Linked DNA regions of Canis lupus familiaris. The protein of the gene in region 1 interacts with the protein of each later gene in a biochemical or structural test. Links are inferred from orthologs where the notes say so. Each region holds a gene or a part of one and is shown on either strand. Other genes may lie near its edges. The genes, in order: TNKS2 and LNPEP.

Region 1 (4,567 bases):
AATGGCTTCTGAAGGGGCACCTGGGTGGCTCAGTCCGTTAGGTGTCCAACTCTTGATTTTGGCTCAGGTCATGATCTCAGAGTCATGAGTTCAAGCCCCACATTGGGGTCAAGCTCAGGGCAGAGTCTGCTTGAGATTCTCTCTCTTCCTCTGCCTCCCCCACACTCTGTGCTCTCTCCCTGCTCTCTAAAAAAAAAAAAAAAAAATAAATAAATAAATAAATAAATAAATAAATAAATAAATAAATGTTAAAAATGGCTTCTCAAATCATTTAGCTAGAAGAAATGCAATCTATTTTATTTTATTTTATTTTTTTTTTAATTTTTATTTATTTATGATAGTCACACACAGAGAGAGAGAGAGAGGCAGAGACACAGGCAGAGGGAGAAGCAGGCTCCATGCACTGGGAGCCCGACGTGGGACTCGATCCCGGGTCTCCAGGATCGCGCCCTGGGCCAAAGGCAGGCGATAAACCGCTGCACCACCCAGGGATCCCAAAGAAATGCAATCTATTTTAATAATAAAAAACACCAAGTTGAAGAAATGTTCCTATTTATGTTATTTTTCATTAACAGAACTTAACTCCTTGGGAGTAGACTACTGGGAGCAAATGACTATTCTTTTAATTTAAACATTTTAGATGAAAAGACAGACTAAATTTTTTCTAAACTGTTCTCTTATCATGATTCATTTCCTTGCTGCACAGATCTCTCATTCTTATTCCTTGGAAATCAAAACAGAAAGACAAAAATGTGTCCCCTCCTCCCAAAAAACCTCCAAATGTTAATTGGTTTAAAACAAACACCCACCCCCCCAAGCTTATCCTACAATGTACAAACACAAGAAACTGCTTGGTCAGGCAGTTTCACAGTCCCCACACCTACACTGAGTTTCCAATGGCATGTTTACATGCACGTTAATATGACTGACACTATCTACAGAAGATTATAAAATACATTTTCCACATATAGGAGAAAATGCAGCTGGATGAATTTATTTAAAAATTAAAATAGGTTCTCTCATTAATGAATAACTCAGACTGAATTTACAAAGCTAATTTTTTTAAGTTTCTTATATGCTTGGGTTTAAATGCAGGGCTTTTAATGCTCTTGTTTACTGTACGCCATTAGACATTTTTATTACTCTGCTTTTACACCTTGAATTATTGGTTGTATAACCTGTACCAGATAATTTGGGTAAATAGTGAGATAGGTTAGTTCCCAAAACAAATTTTCCATTTGTCTGAGCCACATCAAATCTATGTAAAAAAGTGCTTTGAAATGTTGGGACAGAACTAAGGGTAGGATGGTGGAGGAGGAACAAGGTCAATAAAAAGCTAATCCCATAACCTCTAAATATTACTATTTTCAGATGTGAACTCATTAATACACCAAATTCTTGAAAGGTAGCAACTAAGATCTTGCTTCGCTATTTTTATCCCACAGATCAAGTGAACAGAATCTAAGTAACACTACCCTTTGGATTACTTATCAGTTATGATAGTTTGCCAAATCAGTTGTTTAAATGTTGATTACACGGCTAAACAGGACAATCCAAAATAGCTGAGAAAAGACAGCACTGATCACCAAAATTTTAAGCAAAATGGCAAACAGGTGAGATTTGACTTCAGTGTTTTTCTCCTTTCCCTTTCTGCTACCCACAGGCTGTTTCTAGCTATCTCACCCAACTTCCCTCTTAAAAAGGCTCCCCAACAGGAACCTGACAAAATTGTAACTGATAAAGCATACCTTCTAGTATTCAGATTTTAAAATAAGGACAAATTAAAGCAAACAAATCAAGTAAAAGCAATGTCTGTGAACAAGGAAATTCTTCTTACACTTTCTCTCATTGTGCCTACTCCAAAAGACGGGTATCATTTTACATTTCGAAATTTTACATTTTCGAAAAACTATTTTAAATAATCATGTAATACAAAATGAAAAAAACAAGATTATTACAAGCATGAGAACCTACTCCCATTTTCAATCAGGATATAGTTAGAATCTCTTCTCCAAGTGAGAAGTATAAATGCTTTATGGAAATATACGGTCTCACCCCAGTTCTTCTAGATTCTTCAATTAAACTTAATACCTTTATATCACAAAGTCAATCTAGTAAATATTAAAGGAAAAGTAATTCAAACGATCTAAATCTCAGAATAAGGCGAGGTTGGCCCCAACTTTAATTCTAGGTCTAAGCTAAAGTACCTGCACTACCTTTTCCTCTCATCCTCCACTAGTATATGTAGCAGCCACGACCCACCCACACCCACCTTAAGTTAGATCTCAGTTCGCCCAAACGACTACTTGCAGTTCTAGACTCTCCAAAATCTTGCTAATGACTGACTACCCCGCTAAACCCGTTAACAATAATGTGTCAATGGCTAATTAAGCGACCCCGTAAATTACATCCTTGCATTTTACAAAGGCCTTTAAGCCCTTAACCCAAAGGACTGACAACAGTCATAGTGGAACTTGCAAGAAAGACAGATTTTGGAGATAATTGGCCTTTCAAATCACAAGGTCTAAGTTCCCTACTCTTTCTTGTGTATGGAAGCCTTTCTAGAGTAGCAAGACCGGAAGTTGGTACAGGTATTGTTGATACTAAACAAAGCAAAAAAAAAAAAAAAAAAAAAATTCCAGTTGAGTGGGGCACGCTCGCCCCCTAGCCCCATGTCCTCGCTCAGTCCCCAATCAACGAGAGCGGGGTGACCAGCAGCGGAGTCCGAGGCGGAAAGACGGGGGCAGAGTGTTTGGTTTCAGGCCCGAGAGCCGGGACGGGCAGGTGGGGTGCAGGGCGAGGCGAGGCGAGGCCGGCGTGGGTCCCGGTTACCTGCGGCGAAGTGGAGCGGGGTGGATTTCCTGCCAGCCGTGTCGCGGCTGTTCACCTTCTCCGGGGTCACTAGTCTCTTGACTCGCTCCACGTCCCCGTTGCGGCACGCCTCGAACAGCTCGCGGGCGCCTGGCTCCACGGCCTCGGCCGCCGCGCCAGCGCAGGCCGCGCCCCCGCCGGCGCAGCGGCGGCCCGACATGATCCTGGCCGCCGCCGCCGCCAGCAGCAGCGCGAGCAACCGCAGCAGGAGCCCCGGCCCTGCGAGCAAGAGGGCGAGGCCCCCTGAAGGAGACGCGCACAGGGCCCGGGCCGCTCGGCTCCCTGCTGTCACCGGGCTCGGCGCAGTCCCATGGCCGCGCCACCGCCCGGCCCTCGCTCGGCCCCGCGACCCCCGGCTGCCCCTCGGTGGCGGAGGCAGCGCGACCCCGCCGTTCCAGCCCTGAAGCGACGCGGCAGCGGAAGCTGGCAAGGCCCCTCCTGCCAGGTCCGCGGAGCCCTGGGAGGGCCGGTGACGTGGTGCCGCGCGTGCGCAGCGATCGGAGACCGGCCCGACCGATTTCCGCGCCGAGGCCGCGCGGAGGGGTTTGTGGGTAATGTGAGGCGAGGCTCTTCGGCGGCTGGAGGAGAAGGGGCTTCGTCCCACCGCCATCTTTGCAGTGGGTCAGGCTGAAGCCGGGTGGTTTTGTTTCGCTTTGTTAAGGCATGGATTTCCCGAGCTGAAATTCCTTACTGTTATTACCCTGAAAAGAGCCTTTGGAAGTGTCCCCGCGATCTGGCGTATTGCTTTGGAATTCTTAGTGTGGAAATCCATTTTTCAACTTTCACAATCCCTTTCCTGGGGGGGGGGGGGGGGGGGGGGGGGGGGTGGATTTCTTTCCCGTTTTCTTTCCTGTCTTTTCCCTTGCCTTGCAACTGCTATTCTGTTGTTTCTTGTGAGTCACATGTGGAAAACGAATGGGTTGTTTCCCACTTCGTGGGAAGTTTGGATGAGCTGCCCCAAGTTCATTTAAAGTAAGTTAGGAAAGTGATGAAAGTGTGTTCCGATTCTAAATTAATTGAGAGCGATGGTTCTGATACGTTACTCTTCCACAGTCATTAGCTCAGAACTTACGAACGGGCCCACGAGTGTATCAACATTGTACTGACTTGGCTGAGGTGTGGACACAGTGGGCATACGCATCGCAGACAAAGGTTAATAGTTTGCATTGATATATATTAATTTATATAATACTTACATATAATATACGAATTATATATAATTACATATTAATATATGTACACATATACACATATATAGGTCTGCATACGTATATAGACCATCAAAGAAAAGCGCACAGTTAATTGTCACGCTTAATGTAGTGATCCAGCTATTCCCTACTCCAGGCCCTGGCCTCAGGAAACTGCGTGAAAGTGAGGTATGGTTACATGAAATGACACATGTTGACCTTTGGCATGCTGACAAGCATTTTTCCCTTGTTGTCTTTAACTTCTTAACCTGTTTTTCAGGAAATTCAGTTTCTGTTTGGGAATGTTGACTCACTACTGTGCAAGAAGGTAGAGGATGTATGCTTTTAGGAACATTTTTGTACATATATAAGTTATATAATTATACATACATAATTATATATGTCGTGTAAATTTAAATTATATTGCATAAACTGAATATCCATGGGTGCATCTAACTAAGAACTAAAGCACCAATACTATTACATCTATCTTTTTCTTTTCCATTTCA
Region 2 (4,379 bases), on another chromosome or scaffold:
AGCCCGTCTCCGCCGGGAAAGCGAAGCCTCGAAGTCTGGGCAGCGACCTTGGCCCGCGGGCGCCCGCCCCGCCTCCAGGTGCGGCCTCGGGGCGCCGCCCGGCCGTCGGGACAGCCGCGCGCTCTCTGCAGCCACCGCCCCGATTTAAGGCTCGGCGGGACAGTTCTCTCGGTCTTGTGCGCCTCTGTGTTTGCTTAGTGTCTGTCTCCGGGATGCCCCCCTCCCCGCACGGGGCAATGGTCGTTGTTTTTTTTGTGGGGGGCGCAGTGCCGAGCTCCCGGCGCCCAGGCCCCCGAGGCCGTCTCCTTGGCTGAGTGACTGACTACGGCCCCGGTCCTGCGGCCCCGCGGCGGCTGCGAGGCTCCCGGGGGCGGGGCTGCCGCAAGCCCCGCCCCCGTCAGGCCCCGCCCCCGTCAGGCCCCGCCCCCCGCCTGTCCCAGGCGCCGGCCCCCGGGGGCCGTGCGGTGTTTTCCCCTCCGGCCTCCCTCGCGCTCTCTCTGCGGCTGTTGCAAAAACCTGGAGCGGCGGAGCCTCAGAGCGGCGGAGCGGCGCCGCCCCTCGCGGCACCTCCCCGGCAGCCCTCGGCGGCCGCGCTGGGCATGCTCAGTCGGCAGCGCCGCTTCGGGGCTTGGAGGAGGAAGCCGGGGCGCCCGGGCGGCGAGGAGCGGCGGCGGCGGGCGGGGAGATGGATCCCTTTACTAACGGTGAGCGGGCGGCGGCGGGCGGCGGGCGGCGGGGCCGGGCGCCCCGGGGCGCGGAGGGCGGCTGGCCGCGGTGACACGCGGGGGCCGCGGCGGGGGCGGGGGCGGCAGGGGCGGCGGAGGCCCCCGGGCCCGGGGCTGGCTGCGGGTCGGGGCCGCCGGGCGCGGGCGCCGGGGCCGGGTGGGCGCGCCGCAAAGTTCGGGCGGCTTCCCGCGGCGGAGGGGAAAGTTGGCCTCCCGGGTTCGCCCCCGCGGAGGCGGCGCGCGCCGCGGCTCTAGGGCCGGGAGGGTCGGACCGCGGCCGCTGCCTGCAAACTTCTGCGGTGCAGGGAGCTGGGGTCCTTCGGCGGCGGCTGCTGCGGGGCGGGGTGGGGGGGACCCGCGCAGAGGAGGGATGCTGCTGGGTCCTGCGCTGCCGCGGAGCTGCCCGCCCGCCCCGGGCCCCTGCCGTGGGTCCCGGGGGAGGCCCCCCCACCCATCCATCCACGCATCCACCCATCCCTGCAGGGCGTTCCAGCTCCCTTTCGGGGGCTCCCGAGGAAGACCTCTTAAATACCAGGGGGTCCGTCATGCTGATCTCACAATGTGACTTGAGGCCAGAGCCGGAGCCTTGCAGGATGCCCTGCAAACAGCCCCAGCTCCTCACGGAGCGGACGCACACGGTGGATCCCACCCCGGGCAAAACCCATGGCTTTGCTTTGGCCCCCCACCCCCCAAGTGCTAGAGTCACAATACAGGGGTGAGATGTCTTCACCGTTTTTGTTTTTGTTTTTGTTTTGGTGGACTTGGAGTATATGGGGTTTCCTTTTGGGGGACCAGAAAGTAGGAAGGATGCCGGCGAGGGAGAATTGACCCTAAAAATTAAGACGATTCAGTCTGTGGCTGACATGTGTTTTTCTTGCGGGTGGTGGTTGGTTGCTCCAGGTGGACAGTTTGTCGCATTAGTAGATGCGAACGCCTACTCCTGTTTAGGGTCGGTGGCCACCCCAGAGGTAGAGGCATTGTCCACTGGACATCCCAGGCCCTAGCCGGACTTTCCGTAAGCCTGTTCCATACATGGGACTGCGAATTATCCTAATCTCCCTGTCCCTAGTTCAGGGTGCTTTCTTCTACTGCCATCTTCCTGTCTGCACTGTCTCATTAGGCTCAACGGTGGCAACTTTAATTCTGCATTTTCTTTCTCAATCAGGTTCTTTTATTAAATTATTTTTTAGAGATTTTATTTATTTATTCATGAGAGACAGAGAGAGAGAGAGAGAGAAGCAGAGAAACAGGCAGAGGGAGAAGCAGGCTCCATGCAGGGAGCCCGACCTGGGACTGGATCCTGGGACTCCAGGGTCAGGCCCTGGGCTGAAGGCGGCACCCAACAGCTGAGCCACCCAGGGATGGATCCCTCAGTCAAGTTCTGTTTGTAATAACTAAGGCTCTAAGAATAGTCAGGTAAAGTCACTAAGAGAATTAAGGAATACTGGAACCAGAAGTAAACTTAGAGAGCATCCAGTATTTTAGTGTCAAATACGTTTCATATAAATCATTATGTCCTTTCAAATTAATATTCCAAGCCTTTTTCTTTGTCTGAGATAGAATATTTGGAGCTTCCATGTTCACAGGACTTTTTAAATGTGAACTTTCGACTTAAAAAAAAAATTCCCTCGCAACAAGGCTGAGTCACCCATTTGGTCAAGACTGGTGCTAGCCGATTTGGTAGACCCGTGCCTATAGAATTAAAGTACATTCTCACATCTTCCAACTGGAGTCTTTTCTCCCCTCTTAAAATATGGTCCTCTGTATGTGAATATTTGCAAATCGTCACATTGGCGAGGGCAGTGGAAAAGCCCCAGAGAAGTGAACAAAGACAGACAAACGCTTCAGCGTCTATGTAGGAAATTGGTTTTTTAATCCTTTTCCTATCTTCCAGATTTTCACAATCTGCTGGAGAACAGTTTGACAGTGCATTTTAGTTAATGTGTTAATCACTCCTTGAAGGCTTATCTAAGTGTCCTTTAAAAGGAAATAGAAACTACAACACCTAAAGTCAGCCAAAAATTAGCTCCTAGCAGTTTGAGGTGCTTTTCTGGGTTAAGATGGACTGTTTATTTATTTCAAAAGTTTTGAAGGATAGCTGTAGAATTTTTATAGTGTCTTTAAATGGGACTTGTTTAAGCATGTTTATCTTTGTACTTAATTCTGTTGGGTACAGAGGATATCTACATCTAATTCTTCTCCTTTAGGTCTGGGGGTTTTGGTGCAGAGTATTTTCTTATGCAGAGAATTTAAAATTATAGGATTTATCAAGCTTGATATTGGCTTTTGCACATTCACTCTCTTCTAATAAAATCTTCACCACTTATACTGTCTCATATATATCTCTGCTTATAGGAGAGGTGTGAGAGCTTAACAAACTAGTTTTGGCAATTCAGAACCACTTATCTTTTAATTAAAATGTTGTCAATAGTTTCATCCTCTGACCTGGAAATTTGTAGAAGAGGCACATTTAGTTTCTGTTTTGTGGTTTTGTGACTTTCAGTACTCATCTATTCCAATAGGGCTTTCTGTGCTTTCCCTGTTTTCCATCAAAAGTTGCTGCTGGTGTGGCCCATTTGTCTTGGGCCCTGCTCTCTGCCTGCTCTGCCTGCTGATAATGGGTTCATTTGATGAATATCCTATGTTAACCTGTCCAGGTAACATGCTGCTTCAACCTGTTTAATATGCTTATCTCCAGAAAGGTTTATAAGAAGAGACTTCAGTGTCAGGAATTTCCACTGGGCTCAGGAGTTATTTTTGATCTTGCCCTTGGGAGGGGACTGCTGACTGTTACACTGCAGACTGGATATCCAGTCTGGCTTTGGATTCTTGGTGACTTTTCTGGGGAGAAGGATGTGCTGGACTAGTTACTCAAGATTGATTTGGCAGTAACTATTATGTCTTGTTAGGCCGTTAGAGATGACTTCTTAGGAAGTAGTGATTTATATATCACTAAAACCCAAAAAAATAATGGCAACTCTCTAGATCTTTTGATACATGTACTAGGTTATGGCAGGTAGTTATTTGATGACTGTGTTGCTTTATTTCTCTTTATTTCTTCTCATTTACATGCAGGATTAGAGTATTTCAGAAGAATTTAAATTCATGTTAAGGAATGTAAATGCCAGGGCTCACTCTTAGAATCTGATGATGGAGTTCTAAGGTTAGGGCCAGGAATGTGGGACTTCATTTTGAGGATACTAGAAGTATTCACCAGAAGGGAGCTTTTGAGAACTTAATTAGGTAGGCAAATTCAGGATTTGGAAGCATATTAATGGAGGACTTTTTTTTTCTTCTATGAATACATATATAGTAGACATATAACTATAACTATAACTATATATATATATATATTCCACCCCCTCCCCCCATGCTTTTTAGTTTGTGGTATCTGGAGGGTGGAAAAGCATTGATATTTTGAAGTCCCAGAACTGAAAACATAATTTAAATGGTTCATCATTTTTTTTTCTTATGAACAAAGCTCCCAGGAAACACTTTGGTACTACAGCCTGGTTTATAACCAAACAAGGGGAATTTACCTGTCTTACAAACTGTCTTTGTTTTTGTTTTCAGATTGCCATCCAATTGAAAATATTCCCCAACTTCCAAAATGGGAAATCTGGAAAACAAATTAGACAATTCATGGGTTGTAAA

What was found.
Region 2: the proteins of TNKS2 (region 1) and LNPEP form a complex in vitro, tested with the Homo sapiens proteins (4 studies listed by BioGRID and IntAct, with this or other methods). The link is inferred for Canis lupus familiaris from reciprocal best matches to the Homo sapiens genes TNKS2 and LNPEP.

Annotation. Positions count from the first base shown.
Region 1 is NC_049249.1:6,462,273-6,466,839, reverse strand, and holds the start of TNKS2 (poly [ADP-ribose] polymerase tankyrase-2), read right to left. Parts: upstream 3,047-4,567; 5' UTR 3,032-3,046; coding exon 2,833-3,031; intron 1-2,832. UniProt on the Homo sapiens protein: Poly-ADP-ribosyltransferase involved in various processes such as Wnt signaling pathway, telomere length and vesicle trafficking.
Region 2 is NC_049224.1:12,803,066-12,807,444, reverse strand, and holds the start of LNPEP (leucyl-cystinyl aminopeptidase), read left to right. Parts: upstream 1-1,342; 5' UTR 1,343-1,388; coding exon 1,389-1,440; intron 1,441-4,379. UniProt on the Homo sapiens protein: Release of an N-terminal amino acid, cleaves before cysteine, leucine as well as other amino acids. Degrades peptide hormones such as oxytocin, vasopressin and angiotensin III, and plays a role in maintaining homeostasis during pregnancy.